4 linked regions of the Arabidopsis thaliana genome follow. The protein of the gene in region 1 interacts with the protein of each later gene in a pairwise test. Each region holds a gene or a part of one and is shown on either strand. Other genes may lie near its edges.

What was found.
Region 2: the proteins of AtMYB103 (region 1) and ATS interact in a two-hybrid assay, tested with the Arabidopsis thaliana proteins (one large-scale study listed by BioGRID).
Region 3: the proteins of AtMYB103 (region 1) and LRL2 interact in a two-hybrid assay, tested with the Arabidopsis thaliana proteins (one large-scale study listed by BioGRID).
Region 4: the proteins of AtMYB103 (region 1) and MBD5 interact in a two-hybrid assay, tested with the Arabidopsis thaliana proteins (one large-scale study listed by BioGRID).

What each region holds. Positions count from the first base shown.
Region 1 is NC_003070.9:23,719,221-23,723,526, forward strand, and holds AtMYB103 (myb domain protein 103), read right to left. Parts: upstream 2,555-4,306; 5' UTR 2,406-2,554; coding exon 2,273-2,405; intron 2,145-2,272; coding exon 2,015-2,144; intron 1,598-2,014; coding exon 748-1,597; 3' UTR 563-747; downstream 1-562.
Region 2 is NC_003076.8:17,073,124-17,077,476, forward strand, and holds ATS (Homeodomain-like superfamily protein), read right to left. Parts: upstream 2,782-4,353; 5' UTR 2,625-2,781; coding exon 2,237-2,624; intron 2,098-2,236; coding exon 2,021-2,097; intron 1,784-2,020; coding exon 1,744-1,783; intron 1,624-1,743; coding exon 1,503-1,623; coding exon of another isoform or gene 1,457-1,502; exon of another isoform or gene 1,181-1,456; coding exon 1,096-1,180; intron 994-1,095; coding exon 874-993; 3' UTR 550-873; downstream 1-549. Other genes in the region: AT5G42635 (glycine-rich protein), read left to right, coding at 3,104-3,203, 3,256-3,345, 3,436-3,602. UniProt on the Arabidopsis thaliana protein: Probable transcription factor that regulates carpel integuments formation. Required for the specification of polarity in the ovule inner integument. Modulates the content of flavonols and proanthocyanidin in seeds.
Region 3 is NC_003075.7:15,078,590-15,083,687, forward strand, and holds LRL2 (LJRHL1-like 2), read right to left. Parts: upstream 3,187-5,098; 5' UTR 3,162-3,186; coding exon 2,721-3,161; intron 2,604-2,720; coding exon 2,463-2,603; intron 2,346-2,462; coding exon 2,280-2,345; intron 1,936-2,279; coding exon 1,870-1,935; intron 1,600-1,869; coding exon 1,543-1,599; intron 1,206-1,542; coding exon 900-1,205; 3' UTR 529-899; downstream 1-528. UniProt on the Arabidopsis thaliana protein: Transcription factor that regulates the development of root hairs. Transcription factor that regulates the development of sperm cells.
Region 4 is NC_003074.8:17,146,539-17,150,104, reverse strand, and holds MBD5 (methyl-CPG-binding domain protein 5), read right to left. Parts: upstream 1,874-3,566; 5' UTR 1,709-1,873; coding exon 1,538-1,708; intron 1,236-1,537; coding exon 1,110-1,235; intron 1,029-1,109; coding exon 777-1,028; 3' UTR 508-776; downstream 1-507. Other genes in the region: AT3G46570 (Glycosyl hydrolase superfamily protein), read left to right, coding at 3,238-3,566. UniProt on the Arabidopsis thaliana protein: Transcriptional regulator that binds CpG islands in promoters where the DNA is methylated at position 5 of cytosine within CpG dinucleotides. In addition, binds specifically methylated m(5)CpNpN but not m(5)CpNpG (N is A, T or C).

The sequences.
Region 1 (4,306 bases):
AGAAACATAAGGTGTTTACTCGATTTGCAAAACAGTACATTCGTGTTTACTTATTCGTGTTGTTGCCAATGCCATGAGGTGTTTGCTCGATTCAGCGAATAGATATCAACATTTTGATCTTCAGATTCACTAAACCAAAAGCGCGCTACAAAGATAATCCTACCTATTTTAAAGGAGTCTAAAACATGCATATAGTATCTTGAAATCCTTAATTTGACTTTGTTATTCCCTTGAAAACTGAAAATTTTGACTTTGTTGCAGATATACTTTGATTGTATCATTAAGAATATAAGTGGATTAATTACAATACTTTGTTATTCCCAAGTATTGTTCATTCACTACCTCATTTTGCAACTAGATTAATCATATCTTTATGCTCTTTTCTACAAACCAAAATGCTATAGTAATTTTCAAAATAGTTTTGCCATGGCCTGTACGTGGGTAGCTAGCCAAATCTCTACGTTTGTGTTACGATACGACAACGTTAACGAACTTAGTGAATGCACTACGTTACCGTATTGCCTTGCAACATGGAAGCAGTGTTTTTTTGTCCTTTTCATACATCAAATTAAGGACAAGACCTTGAGTTTTATATACATACATTCACACCATCTCTTTATCAACAATTTAGAACACTCATTACATAATAAAGTGAAAATCCCGTTACAAACTCTAAGAGAAAAAAGGTGAATAAACAAACTTATAAACAAATTAGCGGAGTTTATTTGCTGTGATTTAAACATTAATTTAAAACGAAGAAGGGAAAGAAGAAGATAAGGCAGATGATCCCAAATTCATTGATGGGTCTTGGTTTCCAACAAGAGATGAACCTTCCACGTTTATATTAAGGTTGTCCCAAAAGAAAAAGTTAGAGCATTGTTGTGAATCGTCCCATTGATCATAGCTTAGTTCTTGCCTCTTTAAACATTCGAATGTGGACGCCATTTCTCCATCTTGGACATTGCTGTTTTCATTATGGACGATGTTATCGACATTTCCCTCTATTAGCGCCGGTAGATTATAACTTATAACCGTGTCAATATTTGAATTGGAAGAGTTGTTGAACACATGTGACGCCAGTGTAGGAACTTGAAACGGCTCTTGCTGACGAAGATTCATATCCCATTCTTCCGTGTTAGTTGTTAGAAATGCTTGTTCACAAACATTTTCTCTTCCTCCTCTTTGCGTGTCATCATGATCATTGTTCTTGTTATTGTTTGTGATGATGTTTTCAGAGAACATTCCTTCTAGGATAGGAAGTGTTGTGTCTACCATGAAGAGAGGAGGTTTATGGGAGAAAAAAGTTTCTTGAATCTTTATATTAGTTTCTTGATCATTGGTGAAATTTAATTGGTTAGGAGAATCAGTGAAACCGTCAAAATGTAAGTTATCGATAGTCGATGTTGTGGTGGTAGAGGCCTCGATGGTAGTGGCAATCGATGTAGTGTCCGCATTCAATGTCACAGTAGTTACTGACGGTTGATGACGACTGTAATGATGGTGCGGTTTTCGTATCTTTTTCTTAATCCATGAATTCCAATAGTTTTTAATCTCGTTATCTGTTCTTCCCGGTAAATGACTAGCTATATGAGCCCACCTGAAAAAAACAAAAAACATAAGTTTAATAAGAAAATATGTATGTATCACATTTTGAGAATGTTCAATGAAGTAACTTAAAGTGTACTACTTAATAGCTCGACCAAGTAGACAAAAGTAAACGAGCTAGATGAATGAAACTACACGTTAAAGATTCTTTGGTCATCGACAGTAGGCTAGTCGTTGCTTCAAACCGTGGCCAAACTAAACATATAATTGTTTAAATTTAAAATATAACATGATAAACTGAATATAAGTATAAAATGTACTATGTATGTATCCCAACCCAACAAACTTATTATTGAAAATGGTATCAGTATTGAAAATCTTATAAGACTTCCTGTAGCGGTCTATAATAATACACTATCTTGAATTGATAATATATAAAAATTTAAGTCGAGTTAGTAAAAATGGAGACCTGTTTCCCACAACTCCATGAAGGCTTATGATCAATTTCTCTTCTTCTGGAGAGAACCTTCCTCTCCTGATATCAGGTCGAAGATAGTTTATCCATCGCAATCTACAACTTTTTCCACATCTTTGAAGCCCTAAATTTGATCAAACATGCATTTTAAAATTAGTTACATTAACTATATATGTTAATTAGCGCAAGATCGTTATAATTGGTTAGAGAAAAAAATATGTTACTTGAAAACTAATATACAAGTAAGATCACCTGCTTTTTCAGGGACTTCACTCCAACATCCATAGCCATGAGTTGTGATATATCTAATAAGCTTCTCATCTTCTTCCGGTGACCAAAGCCCTCTCTTCACCTTTTGCTGGTTGCAGCATGAGTGATGACCCATGATTAGTAGCTCCTCAAAGTAACTTAAATATAGTGAACCACTTAATCACAATCTTAAATTAATTTTTATATAAGTATATCACCCTTTAGGTTTTTACTCTCTCTCTCTCTCTCTATCTATCTTCTTTAATTTCTTGAGTTATGTTATAGAAGAGAGAAGACAAAGAAGCAATGGAGAGTTTTTAAAAGGAGAGGAGACAAAGGTCGGGTCGGGTCGGGTCGGGTCGGGTCCCAGGGGTGGGGCCTGAGATATTTCTTCATCGATCTAACCTTAAAACGATGTCTCATCGACTTTCTATTTTCATGTGTTATTACTCGTTGTACGTAGAGAGGTTTTGTTGTAGTATTATTACGTTAAGCCCTTATCACTTTTATGTGTTTTTCTCTTCACGTACCCTTCTGTCTCCCGCGAAAGTTCCTGTTTTCTTTGTTTCTTATATTCTATAAAACCAAATGATTTTAAGACGAAAACTAGAGATTGATTCGTAGAACTAATCGTCACATATGTATCAACTAATCATGAGTATATAATATATATAGACTCGCTGCACATGAGTATCAACTAATCATGTATTATCCACTGTTTTCCTCTATTTCTATCTCTCTCTATATACTGTATTCAGTAAATTAATTTTCATAGTAACGCAAATTATTTATTTTATTATAATAATTCGAGGTTGACCTATTATTTTATAAAAAGATTTTTCAAAATGAAAAATTCAGATACATTATATATTGGCTCAAAAAGAGTCATTTCGTCTAACATGTATAATTAAACTAACTGAATTCTGAAAATATTTAAACTTAGAAGTCGGACCAATAACTAATTAATGATCACATACAACAATTTGTAATCACATACTAAAACGCTTTCCATTTATCGTAACACACTTAATAAAGCAGTACTACTTTTTTTCCTGTGGCCTGTGGGTACTGAGTAGTACTAGTACTTGATGGCCGCAAACCAAAGGAAAATATGAAGCCAAATTTAATACAATATCCTTCCATCTTTCTAATAATTTCCGAAGCCCTATCTTCTTCTTTTTTGTTTGTAAAAAGTAATTAATGATTCCGAAGCCCTATCAAAGATGGAAATTTTGTGTCTTTTAGATTTTTTTTTTTTTGAATTTATTGCTTATAATTATGTTAACAACAACGAACAATAAAAAATTCTAATAAAAGTAGATAGAACTTGTGGATTCTATATTTCTATAGATAGAAAAGAACTTGTGGAATCCATACACAAGGAGTGTATTTGAAGTTGATATAGTATTGTTTTCAACGTGAAATAATTGATTAAGTCATGTAGCCGAATTATACAGTGATTTTTGTAATTTAAATAAAATCCAATTATATTAAGTACGTCCAATACCGAAGCTTTCTTCAAAGATATATAGAATAACAATCATTACAAGTTTCAATTACAAGGCTTTGATTTAGTTAGGAGACATATCGGAAAACCTTACCGAGAATGAAATCGCTTCGTTTATAAATTTTCTCCTTTTAATTTATTTTCGTATTGAAATCTTGTAAAGATAGTCATGCAATACTATATATACAATAATCAATTATAATCATATATGTAATATGTCACATCAGGTTTGTTCTTTTTGACAGGCCTTTGTTCGTTCTAACAGAAAAATGTTTATTTGTTCCAATCTATATAAAAAATGTTTATCACATTATATTTACCTTACCTGCACCTATAACACTAGTTCTGTTTGTTCGTTCTAACAGAGCAACAACAATCTCGTATTCTTTCCAATCTATATAAAAAATGTTTATCACATTATATTTACATACCTGCACCTATAACACTAGTTCTGTGTTTGTTATTCAATATATTAAATAAATATCATATATATCACCGTATATAGCATGCTCAATTTCTCCCTATAACAA
Region 2 (4,353 bases), on another chromosome or scaffold:
ACCTATAAATATATCTTTTATATTTCGTTTCATCGGACATTTTTAAGGAAAACTAGAGAATTCAAAACTCCATTTTCAAGATGTTACAAAACAAAATGAGTTTATGTTCGCCACTAGATAATTATTTCACCTTTTAATTATTTTAATCATTATGATTATTACTCCAAGGTCTTTGATGAGCACAAGCGTCCATGAGGAACAAAACCCGACGTTCTGAAGGAAGTCAAGGTCGCTATTGGCCTTACGTAACAAAGCTACCGATCAAGACCAAAGATCATATCTTCTTTTATATATTAAAATTTAAATATGCAGTCCATGAGCATGATATAATATTCTCTTTGAGAAAAAAAAATTGATATAATATTCTACCACACATCTCGCAATATATGTGTTGACCCATTATTCAATATAAGCAAATAATTTACTAAAACTATAGATTTTACTTTTATGTAACAAGCAAAAAAAAAAGAATTGACCACGTTACAAAAAAACTCTCCATATATAACCAGAGTGGGAGCAGTGGAGCATACCAAAAGAGGAAAGAGGCAGCAGAAACTTTTTAGTTACCAGAGAATCTTTTCCAATTTATATTAAAGTGTGATAATGGAAGATTGAGATGTTTTTTTGAAGACTGAAACAAAAACAAGTTATCTCTACTTGAACTTGTACTCCCTTCTCATCGCACTACAACAATACTTACTACTTCAAACGATTCTCTTGATTATACATATCAAAAAACTCATAGAACATTCTTGGAAAGAAGTTCATATATGATGATAATATGATTCTTCCGAAGCTCATATGATCAAAACAAGTTAAAATTATGTTAAAACTGGTAACCTAAGCTGACTTATTTGTTGTAGCTTAAGGCAATTAGCACTTGAGAAGGGTTAAATCACTGGAGGGTTCCGCATATTCCATCCCCCAACTAGGCCGCCCCAATGTGAAATCCAAATTGAGATGAATGTTGGTATCCTCTTTCTCTTCATTGTCCTATTTTCAAAATATTACACATTATAAGTACATAAGTAAAAGTGTACCATTGTTACCATTGTCAGCATGCAATTAATGAGAGATAAGGGATAAATAATGTACCTTAGTGTGATGAGTTGTTCCCAAGTGAGAATATGCTTGTGTAGATATGCTCCTAGATACTTCCTTTGTCGATGACCATGAAGCTCTGTTCAAATTTTAATAATAAAACACATTTTAGAAATCTGTTTATAACTCCTATTGCTGGACAAAATTGTTGTATTTGGACCTACTTCTATATTATCATCAATTAATGTACATATACAAATTAACAAAGAAAATTCAAATATCTTATATTTCTAATTAGACTAAAACCAAAAACAACCCTTAACGAATTTAATGAGAGATGGAAAAGTACATTCACATAAGCCCTAGGAGAGGGTCATATTCATCAAATTTCACACAGAACTAAGGCAAAAAGAGATTAAATGCAAAATTTTACAAAAATAAATATATAAATAAAAAGTAACCTTTGGGTCTTTTGCACAGATGATGAGTTTGGCGAATTTGTGTCAGTTCCTTCATCAGCTTCTTCATTATTATTATTGTCCTCTATCCTCTGCTCTGCCTCTTTCTCTACCTTTCCTTCTCCTGTTTATTCCCAAGAACAAAAATACAAATTTTCTTTTAAAAATTAATAAATAATGAAATTTTATTTACATTTATATCTAATAAGAATGTAAAAATCAGTGAACTAGTTTGAATGCATACCTGGTGATCCTTTATCAGTGCATTTCACTGTTCTATACATCTGCATTAACAATCACACATTCTTGAAAAATCAAAAACAAATTAAAGGACGAAAAAAAATAAAAGAAATGTTTGGCTAAGTTCATTTCAACTATGCAATCATGCGTTAGATAGTGGCCCAATTATATACATTTCATACATATTTACATATACCTATATATCTATCTACATTTATGTGTTTGAATTCGTATGAGATTCCATTAATTTATATATAAAAAATGAAGAAAAAATAATGAACCTGCAAGTGACTCTTGACATGAGCTAGGGTTAGATCCTTCACATTCATGAGCTCCAACACTGATTTAGGCGTTGCTCCTGAGACAAACCAATACATGACAAATCTTAATACTTTGGTTTCAAAACGTTACACTAACATACCAATCTCGATTGGTTATGTCTTTCTTTTAAAATTTTTTTTGATTAGTATAGGAAAATGTAAGAGGACAATACATACTTTCATGGCCGCCAAGAAGTTGAACAGCATGGACGAAGTGAGCATGAAGAGTAGAAGTCCATCTCATTCTTGGAGCACGAATGCTTCGTTTAAGACCAACCATTGATGATGAGCTTCTCTTGAAATCTCGACCGTAGATTTGAGGTTGGAACATGTTTGAGCGCCTTTGATGATGATGGTCAAATCCTAAGCTCAAGAGAGGTTTGTTGAAGAAGTTGTTCTCATGGCTCAGGTCACTGAGGCTGCTTCCAGAATCACTGCTTGTGGAGCTCCGGTCACCGCCGTGAAGAGGTTTTCCGGCGTGATAGTTAGGAAGACTGATCTGAAGAGACAGATCTGGGACTGAGTTTGAAGCTCTCATACTGTTTCTTGACTCTAACATCATCATCTCACTATTTTCTTTATGATTCTTGTCTACTTAAATAGTGGAGATCAAAGAATGTGTGGAAAGAGAACGAGAGAGAGAGAGAGAGCTCTGCAGAAACAACACTTTTATTGAGGGAGAAAAAAAAGAGGTAAAATATTATATTTCTCCATCGTTGTCATTATCTCATTAATGTATTAAACAAAATTCTATTGTCTTTTTCTTATTATTAAATGGTTTTTTTTTCCAACAAAACAATTCTCTACAATACCTTATTATTCTGAAAACGCTTATTGCACTCTTTTCCTAGTACTACCAAATGTTAGTCCCAATGTAATAACCAAAAAAAAAAAAAAACTAGAAGTGAGGAAATATTTATAGGGTGAATTGCAAAACTAACTGTTTTTGATAATTTATTTAAGAAACTAACACTATAATATACAAAATGTAGAAATTAACACTAGAGGGTAGTAAAATTACTAAATTAGTCTTTTTGATTGGAGATGGTAGTGGTGGTGATGGTTGTGGCCGGTGGTGGCCGGCGGTGGTGGATGGAGTTGATGGTGGTCGGAAGTGTTGGTGATCGGTGTGGTGGTTGCTATGGTGGTGGCCCGCGGTGGTAGTGGCCGGCGGTGGTGGTGGTGGCCGGTGGTAGTGGTGGCCGGTGGTGGTGGTGGCCGGCGGTGGTGGTGGCCGGCAGTGGCGGTGGTGGTGGTGACCGGCGGTGGTGGTGGTGGCCGGCGTGGTGATGGCCGACAGTGGTGGTGGCGGTGGTGGTGGCCGAAGTTAGTGGTGGCCGGAGTCGGTGGTGGCCGGATTTGATGGTGGCCGACAGTGACGGTGACCGGTGTTGGTGGTGACCGGAATAGATGGTGGTCGGAGTTGGCGGTGATGGCCGGCGGTGGTGGCAGGCAGTGGTGGCCGGCGGTGGTGACCGGCGGTGGTGGCCAGCGGTGGTGGTTGCTACTGAAGGTATTGAGGCAACAAGGACAAATTGAGTAATATTACATATAATACAGAGAATATTATAATTACATAGTTAGGATGGTTAGTTAGTGAATTATAGTTTTTTTTGTTAGTTATTTATGCAAATTTCCCATATTTATATATACTAAATCTTGTAGTCAAAAGCGTTGAGTTTTTCTTACTTTATGTTTGAATATAATATAACATTATATGTTGAAAGAAATTTAACAACTATCAATCTTGTCGAGATATAGGAATTGCTCACATCGAATGCCATATTACTTGTAAAACTCGTGTGTCTTCTTACCGTTTTCTTAAATTTTTTCTTTCTTGAATGCTCTTTTTTTTTTTTTTTTTTTCCTTCTAGCAATCCTGAAAAGATGCAATTTAACTCATTTGATTCTCAACTCTCGATGAGTGAGGATTAGAATTCTCAACTTTCATCTAATACTAAGAAAACATTCAAAAGAAAAATGAAAAAGAGAGAGTGATTATATTTCTATATAGTTGGAATTGTGAGAGTATTGTGGTGATGTGCCCAAAAAGTTAAATGCAGTAACTTGGCCAAAATAATTAATAAATAATGATTTTTTACCCAAGAATAATAATAATTTAAGAAACAACAAAAGAGTAAAAAAGTTGGAAGACTTTTATGACAACGTAGATTCTGATTAGTGGTTAAAAAGGTGAAAACAAGCACAGAGAGAAAGACTGGGTGTGATAATTAGATAATGAGTACCCTATGATTTGCTTGTTTACTATTTTCTAATATATAAAATAAATTATT
Region 3 (5,098 bases), on another chromosome or scaffold:
CAAAATAAATTCATTTTTTGTACTTGAAGTCAAAACTCAAACCTCATGCCAAAGCAATAAAAAGAAGAGACTCTACAACGAAATGATATATTATATTTTCCTCTGTTTCAATTCAGACTATTTTTTTTCGATCGTGGTAGAAAACATTCTGACGGTTTGAACATGTAAACGTTTGAGGTCGTTGGTATATATGGAAATGGTTTATATCTTATATGTTTTCTCGGTCCTTGCTGTTTATTTTTGTGCTTATAAGATAAATTAAGATCATGTTATTTCGTTTATAGTAGTAGGTCATAGTAGAGGTATACCATACAAATTCACTCTACAAAACTCTTAACCACCTAAAATGATCCTGACTAGGTGTTCTAAACGTTAGATGCTACTCTAAGCCCCTGCTGCATATATAGTGATTTTCTTGAACACTACTAGGAAGATTTATATGAGATCTTACCGCTGACCACATTGGCGATTGACAATAAATTTCTTCAGTATGTGAGTATATAAAACGGTGAAATTAAGCCTGCTTAAGTGTTACATTCCTGTGTTGTGTAGATTTAGAAACTTAAGCATAACGAGTTTTAAACAAACTCTTTGGCCTAAATGATCATCATTGACGACATTTGTTAGACCAGACCGGTTCTGTGATAGAAAATTTAAGGATATAACTTTATAAACCAAAAAAAAAAAAACATGATAACATGAGTGTGCTTATGGGTGGTTTGTAGTAGGTAAAGACAGAAAACCAAAGTGTACGCAAATACGGTGTCGTATCCGAAAACACGACCTTATTCTTTCTAAACTTTGACCAAAACCACCTATCCCACTTGTCTTTGTCTTCTAAACTTTTTTCTCTCTTTCCCACCCAAAAAAGGGAAAATGAAATGGACAAATGGCCGTTATCACGGCTTGGAAACGGAGGGAGCGTCTTTAACGGTGACCAACGATGAGCCATTACCGTTAGCAACTATTGTAGTGGATAGGTTAGGAGACAAAGGAACGCCGGTATCTTTAACGAAGGGGCTACGAGAAGGACACGTGGCGGTGGAGATGGTGGTGGCTAACGAGATGGGCATGAGGCAAAGACCTTTGCCTTGTAGATATTGCATGGCTGATCCCATGTCCTCTTCCATTAGCTTTGCAACTTGGTGCTCCGTCATCTTCGCCTCGCCGGAGGAGGAGGTGTTTTCGTGGGATCCACCGGCATCCTGAAAATGTTCAATAAAATTAAAAAGAAAACAAGAAAAGCAAAACCCTAAAGCTATGATGATGTTGAAATGGGAGGTTTTGGTATTTGTTGGAGAGAAAGTAGGCACGCGTGCCCTGTCCTTGTTTTGTTTTTTTTACTATTTTTTGGAAAACTTTTTCATTTGTTTTTAGAAAGTCGAAAACAAAACTACTTTTTAATTAGTATTATTCCCTAACTAAAACCTTTTCAATAATTTACATCTCTTTTTAATTAGTTTAAAAAATAAAATCTCATTCTATATAGTGATCACGTCATCCTATCATCCCTTTTAAGAGAGAAGGAATTGAAATTATTACCTCAGAGATTTGAGAAGAAGCAGAAGCAGCACCGCCCAGTCTACTCATGCTTAGTACCTGCATACATAAATTTGCCAAATATTATAATTAAGCAAAAGAAGAGGTAGATATACACTAACACTATGTTTTAACAAACGCAAAAGATAAATAATTTACAAGATAAAAGGGAAAGGGAGCATATGGAATTTTAGTTGCAGAGGCCCATATTCGATTTCTTATTCTAATGTCAACTCAAAGGTAAAGAAGCTTCCACTCTTATAACAAAAACAAATTTAAAATTCTCATATCTTATAAAATAATTCGAGAGAGAGAGAGAGAGAGATTCACCTTGACTTGGAGCTGTAAGAACTTGACATAATCGATAATCTCATCGAGCATTGATGCTTTGTCTGTCTGTTAATTATTATTTTTAACAATAAAAAAAACCTTGTTAGCAATTCTGCATCTGTTTATTAAGTATTATTATCAATTAAATTTTAGAATTAATTAGCTAATCAGTGTTTAATCATTTGACTGCATAAAAGTCCAAATCTCTAGATAACCTACTAAACTAGTAGCAATTTGTGGTCCAAGACTAAAATACATCAGTGTAACTCATATACTTAACACATTATTCATTTTGAGATATATACTATTAAAGAAATGTAAAATACAAATTGGATTATTTGAATCTACTCTTTTAATTATATCAACTTTGATGATCGAAATTTAGACTAATGAAGATAATTAAAATTTACCTTGTTACCATTAGGGACAAGTTCTTGAAGAGATTTCATTCTTTCCGCTATCCTCTCTCTCCGTAACTGTTCCATAATTTCAAAATATTTCAATAATCACCTTAATCATCTAAATAACTTTATACGTTTTTCTCGGTAACTGAAAAGCGAATAATGAGGAAAAGTTAAATAAAAAAATCGAACCCGTTCGGCGATACTGTGAGGATCAGTGGCTTGACCTCTCCTAGCTCGGACTTTAGGCTTTGTCTGAGGTTGCGCCGTTGCACCACCGGTGGTGGCTGACGCCGTCGCCTGCGACTGCGTTTGCGTTTGACCTCCCGATCCCTAAAATATATATCAGAAAACATTAAATTAAGACTTAACAAAAGAACATGTAATGAATGTTTTCTCTTTTGTAGTAATTTGCAAAATGAGAGAGAAAAAGTGGATTATCAGTTATACTTGAGGGAGGTGGAAAGGGAGAGATCCGGTGGAGAAGCCATTGAAGAGAGCGTCATTAGGATGGTTATGTGACAAAGGAATCATAGTGATCTGGTTTCTTGAATCGGCGTCGTGGTGGTGGAATCCAGTGACGGGGGCACAATCGGAAGTTGGTGGAGGAGTGTCGTCGAGAACGGATGAGGGCCAAGGAGTGGAGGAGAAGATGTGGTGGAGGAAATCATCGTGGTCGAATGTTGCAGGAGATTGAAGATGTGGAGAAGGAGATGATGAAGGAGTTAGAAGAGACGAGGAGTTCATGGCTTCTGTTTTTTTTTTTTTTGGTGGGGAGTGAGAATGAAAATGAATGTTGTTGAAATGTCTTTTGAGGTTTAAGGCTTTATGGTGTTTAAAAGAGGGATGGAGATTGTAATATTTGAGATTTGAAGGGTTTGACTTTGACATGTTAAATACGTTTACCAAATTTACCATTTTTTTTATCATCCTTGCAAATTAATTATTTCGTGTTATTTTCATAATTTCTTGATTTTTTTAATCACTAAAAGAATTCGATCACTGAAGTCATGATTTCTTCAATTTTATAATCCTTTGTTGATAATATACTTTTCACAATTTTGTAGTAACTACAAAAAGTAAGTGAAACATATATTTCTAAAAATATCATAGTCGATCGAATGACAGGCTTAAAGTAATAAAACTAACTTAAAATTCGGTTGTACTAAAAAAAAAAAAAAAAAAAAAAAATTCGGTTGTACTAACTTCACTCAAATGATTTACGTATGTTTAATTATCTTTTTTTTTTTATTTAAGACAGAATGTGGTTCTAATACCGTATATTATTAAATTTCTATATATATAACATAGGTTTTTCTATTAATCATTTTTGAAAACTCATGTTTAAGATAATTGTATAAGATTTTCATTCGGTAACATTAAAATTGGTTTATTTGAATGCTGAATAAAATTCTTTGGATTTATGTTAAGGATGCCAACTACAAAAATAAAATAAAATACAAATCTCTATTGTTGATCTTTTTTATTAAAATCAGTCGGAGTTTTAAACTTGTCCCGGCAACTACGTACCACGAGATAAATATTTGCTAGTCCAAAAATGCAATAGTCTACAAGATAACACCAGAGCCAACACTTTTTCTTGTGACAACTATTTTAGACATATAATATTTAGACATGCAGTATAAATGCATACAATTATACTCTATTCATTTGGGTACATTCATTCATTCATCAACGGTTCATGATAATGTTCTCTTCATATATTACTGTTTACAATTTGTCCCCAAGATTACAAACATGCTATCCCTTTAGACGATACTCGTGTTCGATAAGAATAAGATCACTTTTTATAGATTATTCTTGTTTTGTTTTCTGATTAATATGATACCGATCGATGAAATTGTTGTTTTAACCGATCTGATTAACATTTGGGAAAGAGGATCCTCTCAAACGAGAACATAACATAACAGAACATCGTCATCATCATCATGTCATGTTACCATGTATTTTTTATACTTGTTAAATATTTTTTGGTCTAATAAATTCATCATTTACCTTAAAAATTCTTTTTTACCATCGTATACAGTTTTTCAGCTGTTTGATAGTATTTGATTAAGATTAATATTAAATTGACAAAGATAAGTAAAGAACATTATTATGCAATATGCATGATTAAGCACATGGGACATTCTGAGTTTTGCACAAACTCACAAGAGGTAGAGATCGGCTTTAATACACTTCCCATTTATTAATTACAAATGTTGGTAAGCATTGATGTACTACACAACAGAAAGAGAGATCTATCATCTCATGTATTAGTATTATCAAGAGAATGCAATAATTATTTTTGTTTTTACTTAATAATCATAATGTATACCAAAATAATTAACTAAGGGGGTGTAAAATAAGTTACGAATGATAATTTAAATTCCATATAGAAAAAATAAACAGATAGTAAAGACAAAAATGCTACTATGTTAAATAAACTATTGGTCCCATCTAGTATACTGATACATTAGTTTTATTTCATATTATCAGTAGTTTTTTCTATTGTTTATATAAAACAATACGTTTACAATAGGAAGGCAGGAAAATAAACCATATGGTGCACAACCATTGTAGACTCAATCCTGACAAAACCCAATAAATTTGAGGAACTCCCTCAAAAATTACGGCTTTGTTCAAATTGAAAAACTGGCTCTTACGATCTTAGTTTGGTACACAATCACGTCTGATTTCCCAAGTTCTACTTATTCACCTATAATGAACTATAAATATAATCTGTAAATATCAAAAGGTGGGCTTAACTAGGCCTTGGGAAAATATTGAATTATTTAACCTTGTATGAATCTGACAAACTCTGATTA
Region 4 (3,566 bases), on another chromosome or scaffold:
TATATGTTACTTTTGGTAATTATTCATCTCCACGCCGTTAGAATTCCTCGAATTTTGAGGTGGAGAATTTTTCCCATTTTGTTTTCTGATAGGAAACAAACGATAACTGAAAAGTGCGATAAGAACCCCTTTTTTATCCACTGCATAAGACAGAAAAGAATTATAGTCTTTGACGACAATGTTCTTAGCCATTTTAGAAAGAAAAAAAATTCTTAAACAAAGATCTAAAGAAAATATTTACTGTTCATAAACAACGAGCGTAAAATGTCAAAATTTAAAAATGCGTCTGCCGGGAGTCGAACCCGGGTCTATTGCTTGGAAGGCAATTATCCTAACCGTTGGACTACAGACGCTTTGGTTCATATTTTCACACTGTTCTGTTATAACTTGAACTTATTCCAAATTATGTCAGTATGCTTCCGTATATCATTTAGGACAAAGGCAGAGAAGCATAGATAGATAGAGCCTATGCATAACTGATGATTCACAATTTAAAGCAGAGAGAACTGAGCAGAGAAGTACCGCACATCGAACTTTAGATTTCATAACTTTGTTACTATCGGATTCTCTCAAAGGCAATAATATAGACATACATTGCCTTCAAATTATCTAAGAAAATGTTAAGAAAGTACATTACAACTCAAATCAAAGTGTTACTAAAACTATCACTACTAAAAAATTAACCTGCATTCCAACCAACGATCAGTAAATACTAAGTAGATATGATAATCTAGCAGCGCGTGTTATTACAATTTGTGAGTTTCTGCAGCAATCTTCTAGAACATCGTTTTTCCAGCGTTTTGGGAGGTGACAAGAGTGAATACTCTGTCCCAATCTTGGCTGACAGATTCTTGAATCTTGTAGTCCCCAATGAAAGGCAACCAAGCTTCTTCTGAACCGTTTATCCCAGTCCAAGTAACCTTCTCCGGCACATTCAGAAAATCGAAGTTCAACGGCTTTGGCGGTGGCTCAGTAACCTTTTTGTTGGATTTTGTCTGCCGCCTAGCGCTTCCTCTACCTTCAGAATGCTACAAAAATGTGCAAAAACAACAACAGTTCAGGTAAAACACGGGTTTAAACCTTAAGGTAATGTCTACTAACAAACTCACTTCGGAATGTGAGTCTCCGTTTTCCGCTGTCTTGACGGACTTCTTTTTAGGCGTCCCGTGTTCCAAATAGTACAAAACCTCGTTCTTGGACCGGAACTTACGACCCGTAATCGGTTCGTAGTAGAACTACATTACAAATACAAGACATCATCAAGCACTGCATTATCATATTCACACCTACAACATCCTAAACAGAGCAATCTTCATCCAACAAGCATACATACAGCAACGTTACACTTAAAGACTAGTTATAAAGTCTCCAAATACCTTAAAATATAAACCAATAAGATCATCATAACCTAACTTCAATACCCAATTTCATAAATACTAAGAAAAAGTTCCAATTCAAATCAACAAACAACATAACATTTCCATTTGTACGGACGATTCTATCTGCGAAGGAATTGAAAGGGCTGAGATTTTTTCACCTTATCAACAGTACCAGCTTTAGTGCCAGAGGTTCGAACCCTAATTTCGGTTCTCCAATCAGGAGGAAGCCAATTATCATCCCCTGGCGTCGCACGTTTCCGTGACTTCGAATCCACCGGAGTAGCCGGGTTCTCCGGTGGTGGTTGAGCCTGATCCGTGCCGTTCGACATTTCCGGAAACAAACCCTGTGGAGGTCTCCAGAGAAAGGTATGATTGAGTGAGTGTATATAAAATTGAGAGATTTTAATATTCCTTTCTTTTTGACTGAATCAGACAGAGTAAAAGACAGAAGTACAATTTGTAAGTTAGAAGTTTTGTTTCTGTTTTAAAGTTTGAGCTCGAGGAATGGCTTAATTAGCCACGTTGCAGTTTTTGGGCTTTTGGGCCCATTAAGGTAAATTAATTTCTTGTTGTGAATTAGAGTGGATAAAATATTTGTAACCGAAATCAAAATCGAAATGTGTGTAACTGATATAAATTATTTGAACAACTATGGGCCGATCGGTAAGGATGACGGTAAATGTTTTGGCTTTAAAAACTTTTACCATAGAAAATTTGGATGTAGAGACTTAACTGTTGAGATTTTAGATGTTAAATTCTGATTGGTAATATAAAGTTGTAAAAGCTTGAGTACTATTTTTACTATTATTAAATATATTTTTGTAAATAAAATTATGTTAAAATTGAATTATGTTTCAACATAGTGACACAAATATATTTTATTAATAATATAAAATTAAAATACAAAAAATATTCTTAAATAAATATTCTCAACAAATAAACTGCACATGTAATAAATAAATTATTTATTAGTAAATTGGATCTTAAAAGAAAATATAAAATTAATAATAATTAATTAATCAAAAATGATTTGTGAAAAAATATATATAAAATTGTAGAAAGTTTTTAATTATCATGGGAGAAGAAAAAGAAAAGTTTTAATATTTATTTGTTTGAAAGCCATGTAATCGTGACTTTAAAAAAAAAAAGGAAACAAAGAACAAATAAAAACAAGGCTTTGAGAACTTTAAAAAAAAATAAAGTCAAGAAAGCATGACTGTTAAAATAAAAACTGTGAGGACTTTAAAACACCTTTAAAGCTATGAGAGCATCCACATCGGTGATCAGTATATTGGATGTCTTAACTGCCAAATGAAGAGAGAGAAATTTATTGATAAAATGAACAGAGAGAAAATTGTTGGTCAAATGAAGAGAAAAAATAAAAAACAATAACACCAACCAATAGCATGGTGACACATTCGTGTTTTCCCGTATCAAAAAATGTTTTTCCACAGACATTAAAGTCATCATGTCACTCCTATTCAGCGCATTAATTCTCATCTTCCTATTTTTTTTATTCTGTTAAAATTTGAAGACACCTTTTAAATTTGTCCGATGAGGATGGTCTGAGAGTCCCTTCCCAATCACCCCCAAATACAATTAATTTGCAACTATTTACATCCTTATTAATGGTTTCAATTATCAAATGTTATTAATTTATGATTATTACATTATGTAGCAAAACTTCCACGTTTAGCAAAACTTCCACGTTTAGCAAAACTTACTAGGAGTGAGTGATTTTTTGGGAGCCACTCGCTCACGTCTCCACAATCAAACCGAACACGATCATGCTCCCAAAAAACAACTCCTAGTAAGTTTTGCTAAACGTGGAAGTCATAAAATAAACTCATTCACGATCATGTTGGGATCTAGAGTTGTTCATCAACTTTACTTCCTAATTCTCACTCTCATCCTTCCCTTCTCCGCTGCATATCAAGTCGGCGTAAACTACGGCACCGTGGCCAACAACCTCCCACCGCCTCACCAAGTCGTCAACTTCATCAAAACAAAAACAATAATCAACCACGTCAAAATCTTCGACACAAACCACGACATCCTCGCCGCATTTTCCGGCATTACAGGAATCTCCCTCACCGTCACCGTCCCAAACTCCGATATCATTTCTCTTTCCAAGCTTTCCAACGCACGTTCATGGCTCTCCGACAACCTCCTCCCCTTCCTCCTAAC